4 linked regions of the Ovis aries genome follow. The protein of the gene in region 1 interacts with the protein of each later gene in a pairwise test. Links are inferred from orthologs where the notes say so. Each region holds a gene or a part of one and is shown in the gene's direction. Other genes may lie near its edges. The genes, in order: IPCEF1, CYTH3, CYTH1 and CYTH2.

Region 1 (5,577 bases):
AAATGTCACTCACTGTGAAGGCACAGGCGAGTGTACAACTGGAGGAAGGTTTAGGAAGGAGCATGGTGGAGGGTTGGGACTGATGTGCTGTGGTTCACTTGCTCAGTTGTGTCCGATTCTTTGCAACCCCATTGACTGCAGCACGCCAGGCTTCCCTGTCCTTCACCATTTCCAGGAGTTTGTTCGACGCATGTCTACTGAGTCGGTGAGGCCATCCAATCATCTCATCCTCTGTTGTCCCTTTCTCCTCCCTGCTTCAATCTTTCCCAGCATCAGGGTCTTTTCCAATGAGTCAGTTCTTTGCATCAGGTGGCCAAAGTATTGGAACTTCAGCTTCAGCATCAGCCCTTCCAATGAATATTCAGGACTGATTTCCTTTAGGATCACCTAGTTTGATTTCTTTGCAGTCCAAGGGACTCTCAAGAGTCTTCTCCAACACCACAGTTCAAAAGCTTCTGTTCTTCAGTGCTCAGCTTTCTTTATAGTCTAACTCTCACATCCATACATGACCACTGGAAAAACCATAGCTTTGACTAGATGGACTTTTGTTGGCAAAGTAATGTCTCTGCTTTTTAATATGCTGTCTTGGTTTGTCATAGCTTTTCTTCCAAGGAGCAAGTGTCTTTTAATTTCATGGCTGGAGTCACTGTCCACAGTGATCTTGGAGCCCAAGAAAATAAAGTCTGTCACTCTTTCCATTGTTTCCCCATCCGTTTGCCACCCCCAAAGAAAAGATTGGCAGTTTTATGGCCCCTGAGGTGCATGTAGGTATGTGGGAGGAGGGCCAGGAATAGACTGGCCCTAACTGAGTAATGGGGATTTCCCTACCCCCCTTCATAATGAGGCCTCTAGCAGAGGCCCCAGAAGAGAACCCTGCCCCCAGGCCTCAGGTAAAATGACTCTGGAATGTAAATATGCCACAGAGCAGGACTGACAGGGAGCCTGGGACCTTGACCACCACTCCCCTCAGATGCTGTGGGGTCCTGCTGTCACCAAGTCTGGTGCGGGGAAGGCAGTATCCCTGTGAAGCCTTCCAGGGAGAGCCTTCATAATTGCCTGTGATCAGGTCTAAAAGGTGACACATGGGGATTTAAGAGGAGCTGGACTCCTCATTCTCATCCTCCTTCACTCTCACTTATTTGCTCTGATGAGGCCAGCCACCATGTCCTGAACCGACTGAAGGGAGACCCACGGGGTAACAGCTGGCACTGAATCGAGATCATCAATCCTATTGCCCTTGAGAAACTGAATCGTACCAACAATCACGTGGGTGAGTTTGGAGGCGTTTCTTTTCCTTGAGATGATTACAGTCTCTGCTGACTCCTTGGCTGTAACCTTGTGGAGACTCCAGCTAAGCTGGGTCCAGATTCCCGGCACTCAGAAACTAAGACGTAATAGGTGTCTGTTGTTTTCAGCCTCTAAGTGCTGGGGTCGTCCGTTACACAGCGATAGATAACTAATATATGTGCTAAGGATCTAGTGACCACATTTTGGGAAACTGCATGGTCGTGAGCCTGTTTCAAATGACTTGATTCCTTTTCATTGAAAGTGGGCCATAAGTACAGTGACATTATGTTCTTTCCTCAAGAAGGTTTAAGGAGACAAGATGCTGGTATTGAAAACGAGAAGTCTGAGGGCAGGCATTTATTGATGGTGAGTTCCGGTCTCCCTAATTTTCCCCTGTCATTTGCCTTTTCGAGCATGTGAAATGAAAGTTTTAAAGTTAGAGAATCTATTAATTATGCTGTAGGAGAAAGGCAGGCTGACTTATTTTTAACATAAGATACTTTCTGCACATTTTTCTGTGTCATCTATTTAGGAGTAATCCGAACACTAGGAGGTGAGAAAGAAGGGAAATGCAAGAGAACATTGAGCCTAAGAGAGGCTGATGATAAAAATGTGGATTTCAACTAAACCCACCAGGAACAGCTCTGCAAATGACCTCACCCCACCCCACCCCACCCTCGCCTGCAAATAAACATCTTTGCCTCCAAAATGAGAATGCAAAACGATGTACTGTTTCCCACGTGCGTCCTGGAAATGAACATACTGAATAGTGTTTAGTGATCAATGGAGTCTGACAGAGGGGACGTAACTAATTTACATGAATTGTGTTGTGTGTTTTGGAATCAAGGAAGGCTTATTAACAATAAGAAGGAAGAACAATGAGATTGGGGAAGTAGAGATGACACTTCCTCTTCTTTTGAAAGAGCTCTTTTCTCTGGCCAGCTTCTAATGGTCGTCCTGTGGAGCTGCCTGAACTGTGGCTGCATATGGAGGAATCCTCAACCTTGACCTCAGGGTATTATGAATTTTCTGAAATCAGGCATAAAGAGCTGGTGCTTGGATTTGCTCTCTTTTTATTGCATGTAAGTAAAACCACTCCTTGGCTGACGTATAAAGTCATTGCTTGACATCTCAAGATGGTGAAGCAATGGATATTCTGGCACTCTCTTTAAAATAGTGAGCTGTGAGTAAGATGTGACTCTTGGGATATCATGTTTGCTCAGCTCTTCATAAACTTGCTGTTGGGAAGTCCAGTACTACAGACACTGTTAGAGTTTTGAAGGAGAGAACCGTGAACTCTCCTTTCTTCTATTTCTATAGTAGATGTTGTATTGATAACTGCTGGGACTGCAGACCATGATTTAGAAAAACTCAGTTCCTCAAGTGTGTGGGTCCTGAGGAATTCATCTGGGAAAACACTCTGGGGCCAGCCTCTTTTGAGAAGGTGTGTTCTTTGTAGAGAATCCTCCTTTGTATGCAGACTGCTGGAGGGGATTTTACTTTTAGATAAAAAGACAGGCTTGATAAGATATCTCTGTATGAAATGGGAACTTTGGTAATGTTGGTTCAGAGGTTTTTACCCAGGACGTCTAGAACATTTGGTTTTCTTTGCTTGTGAATATGTGAAAGAAACTTAATTGTAAGAGACAGGATTATAAGTCACTAAGGCATTACTGACTGTAGTAGTGGAATTTATTAGTATGTAGGGGCCTGTGTGTTCTTAGGCGTCGTATAGTCATACACAGACTCGGATTCCTCTACAGCTAATTAAAATTTGACTTGGAAATAGAAACAGAAAGAACATAGGTTTCCTTCTGCGCACATCATGCAAGTGAGAAGAAAAAGGACTTCAGTTTGTATATTTGTTGGTATACTTATTCTTTATTTTTAAACGTCCCTCTCCTCTCTTTATTTCTCAAGTATCTTCTCTGAAGACAGTCCATGTGTGAACTCTTATAGGCAAGTTGCATTAAGCAGTATGGAAATAGGAAGTTCTTTCCTGTGGTGGCTTGCTGTGGCAATAAGTGATAAAAAGTTACTTCATGACTATTGCCTGAGACTTTCCTTTTTACTCGCGTATCCTTTTTGAGCAGTTCACTTCTGCTTTCCATCTGCTGTGGAGGCCAGGCAGAATGAGTTGGGAACTCAAGCAAGTTTAATGGGGTAAATGCTGTGTGAGAGTGAAGAAAATTCTATAAGCTCTTTGAGATTGAAGAAAATCCTACAAAGGGAAAAATTACTGAATTCTTCAGTGCTCAGAACAGTGCCTGTCCCATACTAAGCTCTCAGTCAGTGTTTGTGCAATGGATGAATGATTGAATGGGATTGTTCATAAAATGAGTGTAGTCTGGCAGTGTTTGCCTTATCTCTATGACTCAGGCACATAAGGAAGTCTAGGTTGGAAAAGGTCAGAGTGAAGCAGGAGAGGAGAATGTGAAGGTGGGAAGAGAAGAAAGGGTATATAGAAAAGAGATGATAAGGAACCTTAAGAGTGGCATTATGGTGGCCTGTGTGGAGGTGCAGGGGGCATGGAAGTGGTGGTGGTGAAGGTGGTGGTGACGTAGAGTCTGAGCTGCTGGTAGAGATGATGGTCGAGGTAGTGGTAGAGCAGTGATGATGAAGGTGATGCGGAGGTGGTGGTGGAGCTGATGATGGAAATGTGTGCTGAAAATGATGATGATGGAAGTGGTGGAGATGCTGGAGGTGGTGGTGGAGATGCTGGAGGTGGTGGAGATGCTGGAGGTGGTGGTGGAGATGCTGGAGGTGGTGGAGATGCTGGAGGTGGTGGAGATGCTGGAGGTGGTGGAGATGCTGGAGGTGGTGGTGGAGATGCTGGAGGTGGTGGTGGAGATGCTGGAGGTGGTGGTAGAGATCCTGGAGGTGGTGGAGATGCTGGAGGTGGTGGTGGAGATCCTGGAGGTGGTGATGGAGATGCTGGAGGTGGTGGTGGAGATGCTGGAGGTGGTGGTGGAGGGATGATGGAGGACATGATAGAGCTGATGATGGAGATAGTGTTGAAAGTGGTGATAATGGAGAGAGGTGTTGGTGAAGGTGATGGTAAAGATCCATAGATGTGATGGTAGAGATGATAGTGGTGGTGATGGAGGTGGCGGTGGAAGAAGTCGTGAAGTGGAGGTGATGATGGGAGGTAGTGTGATGTAGTCGGGAAACAGTTTGGGGATTAGACACAGCTGTTCAAAGTCTGTATCCACCACTTACTAGCTCTATGACCTCTGAACCTTCAAAGTGATGATTATAATAAAATGAGCTTTTTCTGCTGTCATGTAAGGATCAGAAATGCAGTGGCATAGTGCCTGCCATCTCATAGATCTTTACCAAATGGCAGTTGACAACATATTTCCTTCAGTTTTTAAAACTCTATGGTCACACTTACAAAGTTAATCACCAATTTATCTTTTCTTTATTTTTTGCTGTTTTCTAAATTTCACAAAATAAGCATGATTCATGAATTATTGATTAAAAATAAATGTTATATGCCTAGTTTTCAAGATTGTTAAATACATGATAGTGTATTAAAAAGACCATCAATATAATGATGTTTATGAAATATTGTGATATACTAAGATTAAATTAATAAAAAGAAGAAACAACTTTCAGCTAAGTAAAACACTGCAGAGAAACAAGACTGAGGTACATATGTTAATACATTAACATATAATTAATTTGGTTTATGGGCTTCCCGCATAGCTCAGTCAGTAAAGAACTTGCCAGCAATGCACTAGACCCAGGTTCGATTCTTGGGTCAGGAAGATCGCCTGGAGAAGGAAATGGCAACCCACTCCAGTATTCTTGCCTGGGGAATCCCATGGTCAGAGAAGCCTGGCAGGCTACAGTCCATGAGGTCACAAGAGTCAGACATACTTAGTGACTACACCACCACCACCAATTTGGTTTATAGCTGATGATAGTTTTATTTGTCTTCAAGCTTTTCTATTTTTTTTTTCAAATTTTTCATTAGTGAAGCATATTGAGACTACCCTAATAATCTGAAAACAAAATAAATGTTAAAACAAAATAAAAGTTAAAAAAATCAACATAATTTTAACTCTTAATCTTCCACTAAGTAGTTTTTAGTTATAGTGTGCTAAACTTTGTGGTTCCTTGCAGTTGAAATGACGTGATTTAGATTATTTAATCTTCATGGGGAATCCCCTTTGAGATTAAGTCTGGTGCAGAATTGTGTGACAGCTCTAAAGTGAGAATAGTGAACCAGATCCCCTCTGGGGCTGACTAGCCTACTTGGTTCCTAGAAACACACGAAAAAAGGCT
Region 2 (4,789 bases), on another chromosome or scaffold:
ATCTTTGCCTAAAAAGCCAGAAGCGTAGCAGTGGCCCTGGGTAATGCCTGAGTGACCTTCCAGACACACCTGGCTTTGAGATCCCATCCAGCCTGTGGGCCTGGGATGAGGGCCCAGGGAAGGTGCCCAGAAGAACAGCAGCTGCACTTGGGCTCTTCCTGTTCTCTGTCGCCAGCAAGGGCCCCCCCGGGGTGGTGACAGCACAGGCCTGCCTGGCAGCCAGGGTGCCCCCAGTGCCCCTTGGGTGACTCTAAAGACTGAACTAGATGTCTGACACCAGGGCTCGTGTTCCAGCCTGTCATCTGGTCGAGCAGATGACCGGACCACAGCATTGGGGCAGGGCACCGACAGGCACAGGGCCGGCTGGTGCCCGGGAGGGGCCAGGGGCCCAGGGCTTGCTGCTCACCCGTTCCCGCGGCCCCCGCTCTGTCCTCAGACCCAAGGCTGAGGGCTACAGAGCTGGTGACAGCACAGGTCGCACCTGCAGCCCGGAGCCTCAGCCCCTGGGGCTGTTCTGCTCTCAGAGCTGTTAGCGTCCCCCAAGGTGTCCAGTGCACAGCTGGCTGGTCAGTGCGCCAGACTCCTGCCTACGGTTCTGACCCCATGAAGGGTCCCTGGGTGTCGGTCCCCTAGGGACCCAGGAGGCGGGTGCTGAGGCTTTGTTAGGCTGGGCCTGGGTGCACACCTGTACTTAGTGAGGACACACAGCCCTAGGCCCCTGAACGGCCTACACACACACGCAGGCAGAGAAGCCAGAACTGTGGCCGTGCGTGTGCTAAGTTAGGAACTGGAGGTCCTAGCATGACCTCGCTTGGGGGTTTGTTGTCGTAAGTTAATCTTAAAGGAGACCGTGCTTTCAGGAGGCCAGGGTGCCCCGCCAGAGCAGAGCCTGGTGATGAGCTTCATGATGGTCCTGTAAATACCGTGTAGTCACTGTGTTTTGAGAGTGAGTCAGATGTGTTAACACAAGAGTTTGGTTGGCACAGAGCTGGCGTGGAGAACAGGCTTGCGTGGTATGCACGAGAGCCCGTGTCTGCTAACAACTATGCAGGCAGCAGGCGTTTACAAAGAGAAAAGGGCTGATTCTATCCATACTAGTCAGGAGCAGCCAGGCTCCTTCCTGCAGGGGTGTGTGTGTCTGTGTGTGTGTCTGTGTGTGTGTCTGTGTGTCTCCTTGTCCTGAAGCCCAGTCACAAACACATGCTTGGGCAGAGCTGGTCCATCTCCTGCAGCAAAACCTGCTGGAGCTCAGAGACCAAGAGTGTCACCGCCGCCACCCTGTAAGGGGGCTTGGGGCTGGGCCAGGCTCAGGGGTCCACCTGACCACACACCTCTGTCTCAATGCCCACTGCCCCTGGCCCAAGAGGCTCCCCTGGTCTCAAGACCTGGACCAGGGGTTGGGTTCCTCCAGACGTGCCACTGAAGTTGGGTGTAGCAGGGCAGGAGTCTAGGTGCAGAAGAGTCTCGAGGCCTTCCAAGAGAACAGAGATCCCTGCCCATGGTTCGAGACACACCTTGAGGGGGTGGAGGCCTTGGGGGTTGGAGGCATGAAGGGGCCTCAGGGTCTGAGGGCCCCCAAGGACAGTGGAATTTGGACAGATGCTTCTGACGGGGATGGAAAGTGAGATTAGGGGAGCAGGGGAATCTGGGGACCCTCTTCACGGCATAACTGAGGCTGCCGCCCCACACACCTGCCCTGCCTGCCCAGCCAGCCTGTGGCCATCATGAGGACAGACATCTCATCAGTGACCCAAGGGTGAGGGTCCCAGTCTCTGAGGACCCCTCAGTGGCACTGAAACCACAGACGGGGCTCCCTCCCTGCAGCTGGGTGTCTGCGTGTGTCTCTTCCCCCCATATCTCCCCAAATGTCAGGCCTTGTGCCTCAATTTCTGGATAGCCTTCATGTCCCCCCATGTCCCTGTCTGGGCTCCTCAGTTTCAGGGACCAGGTCCGTGACCCTCAGCCACAAGGGTCTCCCCTGTCTGCACCAGGGAGCCAGGGGGCGGGGCAGCTGCTGCTTACCTCATGCTGGTGGGTCGCAGACATCTGTCACCAGGCGCACGTTCTCTCTTTCAACTTTTGTTTTTAAACGTCATGTCGGAAGCAGAGACTAGAAATAGAAAAGGAAGCCAGTTGGTTTCTACTGAATATTTGAGAGTGAAAGATTTCTTTTCTGTAGTTTGAGGAGAGTGGGTGCAGATGAGCTGTGTGTGTGCATGTGTGTCCCAGATCTTGTTATGAGATTAATTCAATCTAATAATTCCCTGGGCCAAGGCCATAATCGATTTTGATGGATCCCAGGGCTGCCCCAGGTCCTCAGTAATGCGATGACGGTCCTGACGTAACGGGATTAAGTCCTGGACAGACCGGCAGCGGCGCTGACTTCATCCTGTTGTCATTTCCATGTGGGGAAATTAAGACCATTCATCACGACTAACTCTTCCAGGAAGCAGACTTGGGAAACGCTCGGGTCATCTGGGTGCCCTGCAGGCGGGCGGGGGTGCATGCGGGCCCCAGCAGCCACGGGCAGGCCAGGCCGCACACCATGGCCAGGATCTGGGGCAGAATGTGAAACGTTTTCACGAAGGACGAAGTGTAAAAGCCAGCTCGGCCCCAGTGGCATTTCTGAAAAGCACAGTAGCTCGTGTAGGGCTTGCTCTGCCCAGACTCACAGGGTCCCTCTGCTCTTAGGGGGGCGCGTGAAGACCTGGAAGCGGCGCTGGTTCATCCTCACCGACAACTGCCTCTATTACTTTGAATACACGACGGTAAGCGCAGGGCTGCGGGTCCTCCAGGTCGCGGGACCCTCGGCGGGTGCGGGGGAGGCTGGCTGAGCGCTTTGTCCCGCAGGATAAGGAGCCCCGGGGAATCATCCCGCTGGAGAACCTGAGCATCAGGGAGGTGGAGGACCCGCGGAAACCCGTAAGCTGGCTTCCCCGCCGCCCGCCCTTCCCTCCCGCTCCCCCAGCACCAGGTGACAGTCGTGTCTGTCTCCACCAGAACTGTTTCGAGCTGTACAACCCCAGCCACAAAGGGCAGGTCATCAAAGCCTGTAAGACAGAGGCGGACGGCCGGGTAGTGGAGGGCAACCACGTGGTGTACCGCATCTCGGCGCCCAGCCCGGAGGAGAAGGAGGAGTGGATGAAGTCCATCAGGTGCGCCCGGGCCCGCCGGGCGGGGCCTGTGCTGTGGGCGTGTCAGGGGCGGGGCCTGTGCGCTAGGTAGGCCGGGAGGGTCGGGCTCTCGTCTGGTCGGGGCGGGTGAGGCCCGAGCTGGGGCTGTCAGAGGGGCGGGGCTGTTGTCGAGCGCGAGTGGCGCTCTTGATGGGGCCTTGTGTGTAGGACTGCCCCGCCCATCCTAACCCAGTTTTTTTTACCCTCTCCCAGAGCGAGTATCAGCAGGGATCCTTTCTATGACATGTTGGCCACGAGGAAAAGGAGGATTGCCAATAAGAAATAGAGCTTTCCTGGTCTGAGCAGCAGGTAAAAGTAAACTGAAACCCCACAGCAGAGTGACTGGGGGGCCCTCCACGACCCCCTGGACCACCCCGACGGCCTGCCCTGTCTCCTCCGGGACAGCAGCCCCTGCTGATCTCAAGAGGCCTCACGTCACCCCTTCCCGCCGCCGCCCTCCCAGCTCCGGGTACATCCTTCTCGAAGCCCCGGCCTGCAGCTGCGCCTGGTGGTCCAGCCTTGAATATCCGCGGGGCAGACTAGGGGCCACACGTGCTCCTTGGTGGCAGTGGCTGTGTTGGCCGTTCTGGAAGCCACTGTTTTGTGTCATAACAGGAAAGGAAAAGCTACCACTTTTTTATTGAGTTTTTTTCTCAGATATATAGGATTATAGCTTTTATACGCCTTTTTATATTCTGAAATTATAATGAAAGATACTTTCTAACAGTAGTATTTTTAGAATGGCAGCTATAAATTTAACTTCTGGACACACGTATATACTGTGCACTGAGAACAAGTTACATACACACATATGCAGCAACTGGGGAGTGGGTGCCGTGCTCAAGGGGAACCCGAGGGCGCCCCCTGGTGGAGGGAGACGCCCGCGTCCTTGAAGACGCGCGCTGGGCAGGGTGGCTCCAGGGGTCCCGTCTTCTGAGTCACCCAGCTCCGTCTTCGTGGCCCCGCAGATAACTTTTACAAAGACACAAATCATTAAATTTTGGTTTGGGGTGTTTATCCTGTAACTGCTGAATCCCAGGACGGACAGTGTATGTATTGAACCACATGAAACTGCTCATATTTGACCCCTTTCTGATACCCACAAACAGCAGTGTCACGTGGTCCAACCGAACACATGGTTCAGGCCAGCTGTGACCCCTGTCTTCACTACTTAAGGCCTGTTGGCCAAACGAATGCTTATAATGATCAGATATATTAATGTAATGTGTAGACATATAAGGAACTAGAGACAATCTTGCTCCGTGTTTTGAGAGATTTGATATATTATAGGAAGGGAAAGAGCAGGCTGGGGGATGAAGGTGTATAGCACTTACGCTTTTCTGTAAATAGTTTAAAACCCCAAATATGCACTGGTGGTTGGACTGGCGAAGATCCCTGACCAGGAGGTTGCCAGGTGCCGCTGGCTGAGGGAGAGGTGCTCAAGCGTGCAGTGAGGAGCTGGGCCCATCACGCCACAGAGATGGCCCAGGGGTGCACAGGTGGGACATTCAGGGCCGGGCCAGTGACATGCCTCTTGTTGTAAGTTTCATTTCCACCACCAGAACCCCCGCACATTATATGTAGGACCCCCTCGCCCACATGGGCTGTTTCAGTGG
Region 3 (5,563 bases), on another chromosome or scaffold:
TCACAGGGAGAATTAACCTGTGGCCTCAGTTGCTTTTCTGCCCAAGTTTTGGTCATCGAGCAAGAGTTATGTAAAATCAATGAAGATTAAACTCTTAGGTCCACCAGAATCAAGCTTCTATGGATAAGATAATCTCTGTGAGGGAAGTGTCTGATTTCTGGAGCTATTGGAAAGAAACACTTGCCTAAGGAAATAAAGCCCATCTTCTTGGACATACGGGAGACATCAAGCTTCACCGTCAAAGCCTGGGTCCGACAGCTCAGGGAGTAACAGGGATATTTTTGTTTGTGAATGCACAGTTTTCCTAGCCACCAGAAGGGTGGGCCAGAGCTGCACCCTGATGGAATGTGAAGATTGGGATCCCTTAGACTGATAATGTTGGAATCCATCTCATCAAACAAAAACATTGTCAGCTGTGCTGAAGTCAAGCAGAAGACAGCAACAGATCACAGATCAGTACTGGGCAGGAGCCTGGATTTTATAGGCAGATGCTTCATTTCACGGGTGTGAGACAGGTCCAGGGGGCTGAGGTATTTGCCCAGATCACAGAGCTAATAGGAAGCAGATGTGGAAAGAAAACCTAGAGTTTCCTCATTCATTTACTCCTTTTCCATGAGAGGAAAGGGACTTTCCTTTGTTGTCTACCGGGAGGCATGTTTTGGAACGGTCTGTAAGGAAACAGACTGCTGAGAAGGGTCACAACTCCCCCTGATGGAGATATTCCCTGACATTTCAGGGGCATTGCCAGGACCTTGGGCTGAGCTCTTCTCCCGCAGCACCCCCAGTACAGCACATTGTGCTAGGGGGTCCAGGGTCATGCCCCCCAGGAGGGTCCTGGACCATCCCTGTGTGATCCTTCCAAATGACACACTTATAATTTTTATGTGTAGCACCAAATCAAGAAAGAGCATATCCATCCAGGAACAAGTAAAAAAGCAGCATTTTCGTTTATTTTTCTGAATTAAAAATTGGTGATGTCCCCACCTCCAGGTGCAGAACTACTGCCCAGGCTCCTCAAAGGGCAGCTCAGTCTAACCAGTGGGTGGGGATTGGTCGGTCAGCCCAGTGCAGGCAAATAAAACATGTAAGGCACAGCCTAGAAACGTATGAATCCAACAGTCGCAGGAATCAAGGTCACCAAAATCCTGACATGCTGTGAGGCTGAGGTGCCTCTCTTTGAAATTTGATCGGGGTACATTCAGAGGACAAAGAAAAGGAAGTATATAAAGGCAATGAACTCATGACATTCACGGTGCTAAGGTTCAGACTGCAGAAATAATGAACTCAAAATATTCTGGTATTCGGCCAAGGACTAGCAGGACCTGTGAAACTAACGTCAGCGAGGACCACCCTGCCCTTGAGTGGCCGGACACGACCTTGGTACCTCTGTGGGCGGCTGGGCTCTGGTCTGTTTCCCAGGCCTGCGCCACCCTTAGGAAATCCGAAACCTGCTGGGCCCCCGGAGGCGGCCGAGGCGGGGCCTCGGGTTGGGGCGTGGTCAGAGGCGGGGCCTCGGCGCCCGGGGCCAGCCAGAGGGGCGGGGCCTCGGCGGGCGCGCGTACGCAGTCCTGGGCAGAGTAGAGGACGCGGCCCCAGGGGTGCGCGCGCGGGCGACGGGGGCGGGGCCGCAGGCCCGGGGGCGGGGTCTGGGCGGGCGCGCGTGCGCAGGCGCGGGTCGGGAGGCGGCCGCGTGCTGGGCTCTGTGTGTGTGTGTGTGCGCGCGCGCGCAGGCCGCGGGCGGGGCGCCCCGCGGGGGACGAGGGGCGGGCGGCGGGCGGCGGGCTTGGGGCCGGGGGCGGGGCTCTGAGACTCGCCGGGCGAACGGGGCCGGGAGCTGCGGGACCTGGGGCGAGCGGCGAGCCCAGGCGCGGAGCCTGGCGCCGGCACCATGGACGAAGACGACAGCTACGGTCAGTACGGCCCTCGGTCCGGCCGGCGGACGCCCCCTCCCTTCCTCCCTTCACCGGCCCGGCGCCTTGGCCGCGCCTCAGGCGACTCACGTTTCCCGGGGACTGTGGTGCCGGACGCGAGCCGGGCGGGGCGGGGGCCTCCTCAGGGCAGGGGGCACCGGGGGCCCCGAGTGTTAAAGGCTGAGGGGTGATGAGGGGCCGACGTCGGGGTGCACGGGTCTCGGGGGCCGGCGCTGGGGGTCGCCGGGCTCCAGTCTCTGGGGCCGCAGTCGTAGGACCGGGGTCTCGGGGCCTGAGTCTCCGAGGCGGAAGTCCTCCAGGGTGAGGGTCTGTCTCGAGGCCGGGGTCTAGGGCGGGGTTCAGAGGAGGGTCTCGGGGTCCGGGTCTCGGGCGGGGGTCTCGGGCCGCTGTCCCGCGCAGGCCCAGCCTCCCCCGCGAACGCTCAAGTTCCCCCGGCCGTTCTCCGTAGTTTCCGGCCCCTTCGGTGCTGGCAAGTTATGTACCCTGGTCCATGTCTTTGTTCAGAAACAAAAATGAGAAAACACAGGCAGCGAACCCCGAGTGGACAGGCTGCCACCTGACGGTGCCGTCGGGGCCGGGATCTCCTGCCGCCGGCCACCCCAGGGTCCGAGGCTGACCGCCTCTCCGCGGAAACGGGGCTGCTGTTCCCCCAGCGCCTGCGGGGCGAGCCCGAGGGGCGCCGAGAAACCCAACTTTGCCTTCTCATCTGTGCCCAGAGACGCGGCACAGCCCTCACGCCACACCGACAGCGAACGCTTGACAAAACTACCCGTTTCCAAAGCCTCCTTCTGCTGACCTCACCTGGGAACTGTTGGCCATCCGCAGGGCATTCGTCTGTCAAATGGCTTCAGATTGCCAGGCTGGCAGAAGGCTATGTGGAATGCTTTCGTTAATTTATTTAACGTTTTATTCCCAAGAGATGAAAGAATGGCAGATAGAACAAGTGGTGAAGTTTTGTGGTTTGGTAAGCAGAGTACAGACAGCAGTTTGAAATGCTTGTGTGGCTTAGTGGAAGCGAATCCGCTTTCTTGACTAAGTGACATAGGCGACGTTTGTTTCTTAAGCTCTGAGGGAGCAAGCTTTGTTGTGGGGTATGTTAAAATGTGAAAGGTGAAGCACCTTGTTACTTTTCTGTTTGTTTACGAGTAAGTCATTGAGGAACCACTGACCGCAATAGGTGGGTTTATGACCCACAGTGGCAGACAGGGGAAAGGCCAGAGCACGTGGGATCGGTGTCCATCAGATGTCCCCTGGTTACCTTCCAAGTAAAAGCAGTGTGTGCTTTTCCTCTGTGATTGAAAAAAGAGAAAACACCCACGATTGATCCCAAAGGACTTTTCAGCCCCACTTAGGTGTCTGTTTCTGCCCACCCAGGAGAAGCCTTCTCCAGCTTTGCGTGCTCCTGTACCATCTCTTGCTGTTTAATCCAGGCTTTCTTCATGCCCTCTCCTGGTGGTCTTACCCACCGCTCGAGGCAGGAAGCTGTTGGTCTGGTTGCTTTGAACACAATGACTGCTTTGCCACCAGGCATGGCATGAATTCGTGCTCAGAAAGGGTGAATGGAAGCAGGGTGTATTTGTTTCCTGTGGCGGCTGTAACAGATTGGCACAAACAACATAAACTTGTTATCTTACAGTTCTGGAGGTCAGAAGTCCAAATTTGGTCTCACTAAGCTAAAATCAAGGTGTTTACTGGGCTGTGTTCCTTTCTGGAGGTCCTAACAGGAACATCTGTTTCCTTGCCTCTTCCAGCTTCTAGAGACTGCCCCCGTTCCTTGGCTGCTGGCTGCCTTCCACCTTCAGAGTCAGCAGGTAGCATCTTCTCAGTTCTGTCTGGCTTCTGCCTCTTCTAGTTAGGGCTCTGTGACGCCATTGGACCCACCTGATAAGGATAAGGATCAGCAGCCTTAGTTCTCCAATGGTAACCCCCTTTTTGCCACGTAGGGGCGGCGTGTTTCCAGGTTCTGGGATTAGGACAGGGCTATCTCTGGGGCCCATTATTCTGCTGACCACACATAAAGATGAGGAAGAAGTTGTTCTTTTCTTTCTGTTTGTACAATTAAAAAAAAAACATATTCTTCGTATATTGGAGGAAGCAGAAAGGTTGATTTAAAGATTTCCCCCACTCATTGGGTTTACCACACAAAAAGTACCTAATGGTTCAAGATGATCATAACAAGAAAAAGGTTCCTAGTTCTTTTTAAGGTTTGCCTCAGTCTCCAGAACTTTCCATTTCTCTCCTAGGTTTTACAGAGAATTTACCTCAAAAGATAAGACAACTATTCACATTCCACCTTTCAAACTAAAGTGGGTGCTGTGGACTCAAACAGTGCATAGAATGCCAGGTCCAGGGGGTTCCCTCGGAACCTCCATTGGTGGTTCATGAGTCAGCCTAGGTCACTACCATGATTTTTTAACATTGTATCTTTGGGGACAGGGTTTATGATTTCCATGCTATCACCTTGCTAGATAAAACCTTTGAAGCATAACTCATTTATAATAAGCTAAAGAAAGAGAATGTGTCTTAGAGTTTCTCTGTTCAACGAAAGAGAATTTTGAAAACTCACCAGAAGGCTTTTCCTAACTGCATACTCTTTGATGTTCTGTGCTGACCCAGAAACCACACCACTGAGTTCAGCAGCCCTTTCTCTTGTTCACTCCCTGTGATCCTGAGTTGTTTATTTGGTCTAGTTGTAATGCACTAGATCCATACAGCATAGTTCAAACTACACATGTGGTGTGATAAACCAGACTGTGAACACCTGTGTGAAGTGGGGGGGAGGTTAAACAAAAGTCAATTTAAAGCATTTTTTTTTCTTTTAAGAAAAATGTGGAATTAGTGGTTTTCTAAAAGCTTAATTGACACTTTAAGAAAGATGTTCCTAATGCTTGTGGCTGGCTGGTCTTTATCCCCGCCCCCCCTTCTTTCTAAACCCTGAAATAGTTGGGATTTTTGGGGGGTCATTTTACGTTCTTATTAGATGACTGTACTTCCTGGATGTCACAGTTCTCACTTGTAAAAGGAAGAGGTATTTTTACCTTCATAGCGTTCCCTGCCCACGAAAGGACTCAGTGACTGTATTCCTTTTTGTTACTTCTGAATTCAAGCAGACATTTTTAACACGCAGTCTGCTTCTTAATGGGCTTTCAGGCCCCTCTGAGATTGTATGTGAGAGTTTGTGAACGTGCATTTTTGGAGAGTCCTTTGCTTTAATTCAGTTCTCGAACGGCTCTGACTCTTGGAACTGCTGCTCCAGAGGTTTGCCTGCCTCTCTCTTACAAAAGGTCTTGAGGTAGAGATGGGCAGGGTCCATCCAGTAGTAACATCGGAAATGTTAGTGGTGATGATTCTATATCACGACTCTGACGAAATAATCGGATTTCTGAGCATAGGTTCTTAAGATCCCTGAACCCATGTGCTGTTCAAGACCTTTACTTCCCAAATACAGACCTTACTCCTCTCAGCTTTTATTAGCTTCGGCTTATCCCTTTTCTGCTGCATGAGGGAGAAGAAGCCTTTAAGAAATAAGCCTCTCTTGAGAGAGTGGAGATGTTGATCTTAACCAGGCATACCTGGCATCCTCAGATGATAAAAGTGCGGTGTGGGCAGTGGTATGCATAGGCAGTGGCATG
Region 4 (5,386 bases), on another chromosome or scaffold:
AGGGTACAATGAGGGTCTCGGAGATACCCCAGTCAACCACCCCCACCAGGTGCTGGAATGCCTGGCCTTCTGGGAGAAACAGGGATGGGAGATGCTCTCAGAATCTAGGTCTGAACTTGGATGCCTGCATGACAGGGAAGGCAAGGGAGAATATGGGTTGTGGCTAAGGCCAGAATCACCTCCTTTCTGGCCCAGCTTGGAGGGGCAGGGGAAGGAGGAGTTACCTCTGAATGTCAGGGGAATGTATGTGTTTAGGGAGGCTTGTCCCCCAGGTCAAATTATTGGGAACCCCAGTGGTGTGTCTGGGAGTGTGCTTCTGGGGTACATATGGGTCCTTGAATCTGGCCTCTGCCCATGCTGCTATCTACCTAAGTGCCTAGCAGGTGGAAGCCAGTCGAAGAAGGAGTCAGTGCCAAGGAGGACATGTTCCCACCTCTGTGTGCCAGGATTGAGGGCAGGCACTGTCATTGCCCATCAGCCTGTCCCGGTGCTGCGTCAACCCACTTGCCCCCTTCCTGTTTCCCCACCTCCCTTTATCCTGCAGAATCTCCAGATAATAACCGGATGGGATTAATTAGCTGGCTGCTCCCCCACCTCTGGGTGGCTGGAGTAGGCAGCAGGACAATGGAAACCTAAGCATGAAGAAGGGTGTTAAATTGGAGATGAAGGGACAGGAAAAGGGTTCTGTTTGGAAGGGGAGCGAGTGGGGTCAGGACTGGCACAACCTGAGCTTCTGGTAGGGAGGGCAGAGCCTGAGCCACTCATAAAGGTCACTGAGGGGATTAGGAGGCTTCGTGTCTAATCTGTCAGCTTAACCAGGTCCTGGCCTGGAATCTGTCCCTGCCTGCCGAACTCTGGGACGATGAGTGAGGCCCAGGCCCAGACACGACCCTCAGACCCAATTTGGGACCTGTCCGTGATGGGGGTGCCCAGTTTCTCCCTCCAAGCCAGGCCCCTGCACCTGTTTTGCCTTCAAGGAATGGAAATGAGAGGCGGGGGAGGGGAAATGGCCTCAGATGCCAGAGGAGTCGGAGAAGAGGGAGGAGTTTAAGAAGAGCAAGAGTATGAGAGGAGGGGGACGCGAAATGAGACAGAGAGGAGGGAAAGGGCTCGGAGAAGGGAGAAGGGATCAGAGGTGGAAGGATGCTGAGGAAAGGGGAACTGTCCTGGGCACGGAAAGGATGCTAACCTAAAGGAGGAGTTTGGGGGAGAGAGGGAGGAAACTGAGAGGCTTCGAGAGGCAGGAAGGCAGAGCCTGTCCTTTCACTGGATTTGGCCTTCCTCTATAGTCCCATTCTCCTCTACAGAGACCATAAAGCGCAGCATTTGGAAGAAAGTCTTTTTTTTCACCACTCCTTGACTCTGAAGAGGCTGAGGTGGATGGGGGAGGTCAAAGGAGGAGGGTAAGGAAAGGGTCTGCAGATCGGAGAGGCCAGTACATTTGAGAAAGGGGGCCAAAAGGAAAGTGAGCCAAAGCGGCTCCCGGTTGCTTGGCAACCACTGCGGTCAAAAGCCAGGCGGGCCAGCTAGGAGGTGTGGCTCAAGGAAACAGCAGGGAGCTGTGGCCCCGCCCCCTAGCAACAAGCCTAACAAAGTACCGCCCCCTAGCGACGTATTGCTATAGGCCCGGCTCGATTGACCTGGTATCCTATTGAGCAGAGCCCTTGCGCAGGCGTAGTCCTCCCTCTGCGTCTGCTTAGTCCCGCCTCCATGCATCTCCTTTTCGAGGCTTCTCATTGGAGGGGAAGCCTGCCAAGAACCCTTTGGTTTCGGAGGCGGGGCCCGGCCCCTGCTCTCACTCCAATTGGCCCCACAGACCGTCTACTTTGGGCTGAACGTTGCTACGCCTGCTCCTAGTGCGCCTATTGGCCCTGGAGGGCGATCCTTCGGTTTCGGAGGCGGAACAGAAGAGAGGGCACGCCGTGGATTGGGCGGTGTCAAAACGAGGGGCGGTCCCTACTGGCGGGGCGGTTGGGAGACGAAGGGAGAGTCTTTTCAGCGCTGAGGACTGGCGCTGAGGAGGCGGCGGTGGCTCCCGGGGCGTTTGAGCGGGCTCACCCGAGCCCGCGGGCCAACGCGGATCCGGGCCCGACCGGCGGGACCGCCCCGGACTCCCCGCGGGCCTTCCTAGCCGCCATGGAGGACGGTGTCTATGGTAAGTCGGGGAGGGGCGGGGCCGGCTGGGAGCAGATGGAGCGTTTCAGCCCGAACGTTCCGCCGCGAACGACCTCCCCCACCACGACGCGCGCCTTGAGAAGCTTGTTCGGCCCTGTTGTCGCCTCGCTTTTGTGGGGCGCGGGACGGGCTTCCGGCAGGGCAGGAGAGCGGGGCGTTCCAGGCCATTGTTTGGGCCGAGCCTGTTTCCGGTGGCAGCGGGAGGGGGTGGGATGGAGCGGCGGAGGCGAGGCTGAGGCGGAACCATTCCCTCTGGAGGGGCCGGGCGAGCCCAGTGCCTGCCGGGAGAGGGGAGGGGGGCTTCTGGGGACGGTGGGGTGGGGAGAAATCGTGTGGGCCAGAGATTCCGCTAGGGCCAGGGCGGGGGCCTTCGATGCCCCACCCCTTCCTTCACTCTCGCAAGCTGTCATTAGCTTCCCCTGCCATGGTTACTTTCCATGGACCCAGGAGTCCGGGCACCCAGGTCCCCAGCTACCTCGCCGAGAATGGAGGCAGAAAACCAAGGCCTCAGGCCCCTTGCAAGTAATGAACCGCAGTGTCAAGCTTCCAGGCCCCTTTCCCCTGTAAACCTTAGAGTAGAGGCTCCAAGCCCCCTTCTCTCCCAAGGACTAAGAGTCTAGATTCCCAGCCCTTCCTCCCCTGGACTGACCCCCAGCCCCTTCTTCCACTGACCGGAGGCGGGACTCTTATCCTCATCCTCCCCATGAACCTAGGAGCTCTGTCCTTCACCAGATTTCAGAAGTCCAGGCTCCCAGTCCCCAGAACTGATCTCCCACCCCTGATTCCCTCCCCCAGAACCCCCGGACCTGACTCCGGAGGAGCGGATGGAGCTGGAGAACATTCGACGGCGGAAGCAGGAGCTGCTGGTGGAGATCCAGCGCCTGCGGGAGGAGCTCAGCGAAGCCATGAGCGAGGTGGAGGGTCTGGAGGCCAATGAGGGCAGGTGAGGGCTAGGGCAGGGAGCCTAGGGGTCATGGGGCCAGGCGAGGGCCAAGGATGCCCAGGCATTGACCTTGCACCCTCTGCTCTCTGCCCCTGCAGCAAAACCTTGCAACGGAACCGGAAGATGGCAATGGGCAGGAAGAAGTTCAATATGGACCCCAAAAAGGTGCTTGGGGCCACAGGGCTGGGATCGGCCAAGCTGACATCCAGATAGGATTCTGGCATCTCCGGGTTCCAGAAGTGTGGTGGTTAAAGGTCTGTCTTAGGTGGACAGAATTGGTCCTGATCACTGGATCCAGATATTGGCAGTATTTGTTCCCTGAACACTAACCAAGTGCTTCAGCCTCCTGATCTTTGTGTATGCTGGAACTTCTACCTGAGTGGTCCTCCTCTCCTTTTTGCTCATATTTTAGGACCCATTTCTCTTGCCACTCTTGAGTCCCCAGGAGGAGCTTGATTGAGTCTGGTAGGGAATGTGGACAGAGAAGTGCCATGACAGAGAGAAAGAGAGGTACTGGACTGTGGACACAGAGGAGTGAGCCTGGTGGCATCAAGGAGGGCTTCCCTCAGGAGGACATTTGGGTCAGGCGAAGGATGACTGAGTGTTCACCCAGTGGAGAAAAGATGTTCGTTCATTCATTCATTCATTTTACACCATTTCCTCAGGCCTCCCTCTGGGCTGCGGCTCTGCTAGGTACTGCATAGGACCCAGTGTAGGGTTTGATGCTGCCTTGCCCTCAGGGAGCCCCTAGACGCAGATACTAAAATCCAGAGAGAGGGGTCCTCAGTTCATCGTCCTCAAGACATCAGGAGAGCCTGAGAAAGACCTCCAGCCTGAGCCCTCACAGCTCCTCATGAACTGATGTCTTCTAACAGTTTCCCACTTTATTCTTCTTGCCAGAAGCAGTGGTAGTTTGTAAAGTCATTCAGCAGACATTCATGAAGCTCCTGTTCTTGCCAGGTCCTGCTCCGGGGGGACTGGAATTCACCAGGCAAAGGCAGAGGCAGCAGTAGATGCAAAGTCTAGGCTGCGGGAGAGGCGGTGTTTAGGGGCCTGGGAAGAGCCTGAAAATGAAACTCAGGCCCCGCTCTGTTGAGAATGGGGGTGGGTTTGGAGGCTAAGGTTTCTAGGGGTGTCTTTCTGAGCATGCCAGCACTGAGACCCAGCCCTTCCCACCAGGGGATCCAGTTCCTGGTGGAGAATGAACTTTTGCAGAACACACCTGAGGAGATCGCCCGCTTCCTGTACAAGGGCGAGGGCCTGAACAAGACGGCCATTGGGGACTACCTGGGGGAGAGGTGAGAATCGCACTCCCTGCACCCAGCTCCTGCTGGGCATCTCCTCTCTGCCCCTTGCACCCAGCTTTTGTTGAGGAGAGGCCCTGATAGATGAGCCTTGCAACTGGACTGTGACAAAATGGACTGACACAGAGATTGGGGTGGGGGACCTTTTGAGGAACCTGGGGATCATCTGTGAGCATGTGGAGGGTATGGGACATTTGAGGACATCTGAGCAATGCGGGGACCATCACCCATTTATGTCAGGACAGTGGAGAACATTTGTGGGTGGTATGGGAGCGTGAGAACCATTGGAGACAGCTGGTGTGCATGGGAGCGACGTGGACAGTGATGCAGGAAGTGGGAGGGGTCAGTCAGTGGATATCTGGGGAGCATGAGGGGCCCATGGACATCTGGAAACATGGGGGCCATTTGTGGATGTCCGGGGTCTGTGGACCACCTCCAAGCATAGAGTGCATGAGACGTCGGGAGTGTATGAGGACCAGCAGTGGATGTCTAGGGTGCCTGGGAGTTTGTGGACTTCTGGGACACATGCGGACGACCTTTGGATGTTGGGGGTGTGTGGGGACTATCTGGACTCCAGGGTGCTTGGGACCTTCTGTGAAGTCTGGGAAACCTGGGGACCATCGGTGCACATCCGGGACATGTGGAGGCCGTCTGAAATGTCTGAGGTGCACAGGACTGTGAGATGCCCAGGGTTTGTGTGGACATCTGGGTTCTGTGGAACCTTCTGGATATCTGTGGCGCAGAGACCGTCTGGGGACAGCTGGAGGGCATGGGGACTGGAGAGTCTGGGAGCATGGGCGTCATTTCTAGCTGTCTGGGGATCGCTTGTGACATCTGGGGTGCATAGGGACAGTCCGGTTGTCTGACATTGTGGGGCTGGTTTTGTGGGCATCTGGGTTGCCCTGGGACTCTCCGTGGGTCTCTAGGGGATAGGAGGCCATCTCTGGGCATCTATGAAATCTGG

What was found.
Region 2: the proteins of IPCEF1 (region 1) and CYTH3 interact in binary tests that used the Homo sapiens proteins (3 or more experiments, as listed by UniProt). The link is inferred for Ovis aries from reciprocal best matches to the Homo sapiens genes IPCEF1 and CYTH3.
Region 3: the proteins of IPCEF1 (region 1) and CYTH1 interact in binary tests that used the Homo sapiens proteins (3 or more experiments, as listed by UniProt). The link is inferred for Ovis aries from reciprocal best matches to the Homo sapiens genes IPCEF1 and CYTH1.
Region 4: the proteins of IPCEF1 (region 1) and CYTH2 interact in binary tests that used the Homo sapiens proteins (3 or more experiments, as listed by UniProt). The link is inferred for Ovis aries from reciprocal best matches to the Homo sapiens genes IPCEF1 and CYTH2.

The regions. Positions count from the first base shown.
Region 1 is NC_056061.1:78,801,798-78,807,374, reverse strand, and holds the start of IPCEF1 (interactor protein for cytohesin exchange factors 1), read left to right. Parts: upstream 1-2,223; 5' UTR 2,224-2,369; intron 2,370-5,577. UniProt on the Homo sapiens protein: Enhances the promotion of guanine-nucleotide exchange by PSCD2 on ARF6 in a concentration-dependent manner.
Region 2 is NC_056077.1:38,556,257-38,561,045, reverse strand, and holds part of CYTH3 (cytohesin-3), read left to right. Parts: intron 1-2,691; coding exon 2,692-2,768; intron 2,769-2,850; coding exon 2,851-2,922; intron 2,923-3,000; coding exon 3,001-3,155; intron 3,156-3,386; coding exon 3,387-3,459; 3' UTR 3,460-3,482; exon of another isoform or gene 3,483-4,789. UniProt on the Homo sapiens protein: Promotes guanine-nucleotide exchange on ARF1 and ARF6. Promotes the activation of ARF factors through replacement of GDP with GTP. Plays a role in the epithelial polarization.
Region 3 is NC_056064.1:52,903,378-52,908,940, forward strand, and holds the start of CYTH1 (cytohesin-1), read left to right. Parts: upstream 1-1,807; 5' UTR 1,808-1,888; coding exon 1,889-1,910; intron 1,911-5,563. UniProt on the Homo sapiens protein: Promotes guanine-nucleotide exchange on ARF1, ARF5 and ARF6. Promotes the activation of ARF factors through replacement of GDP with GTP.
Region 4 is NC_056067.1:54,895,700-54,901,085, forward strand, and holds the start of CYTH2 (cytohesin-2), read left to right. Parts: upstream 1-2,011; 5' UTR 2,012-2,136; coding exon 2,137-2,155; intron 2,156-2,970; coding exon 2,971-3,118; intron 3,119-3,216; coding exon 3,217-3,283; intron 3,284-4,297; coding exon 4,298-4,416; intron 4,417-5,386. UniProt on the Homo sapiens protein: Acts as a guanine-nucleotide exchange factor (GEF). Promotes guanine-nucleotide exchange on ARF1, ARF3 and ARF6. Activates ARF factors through replacement of GDP with GTP.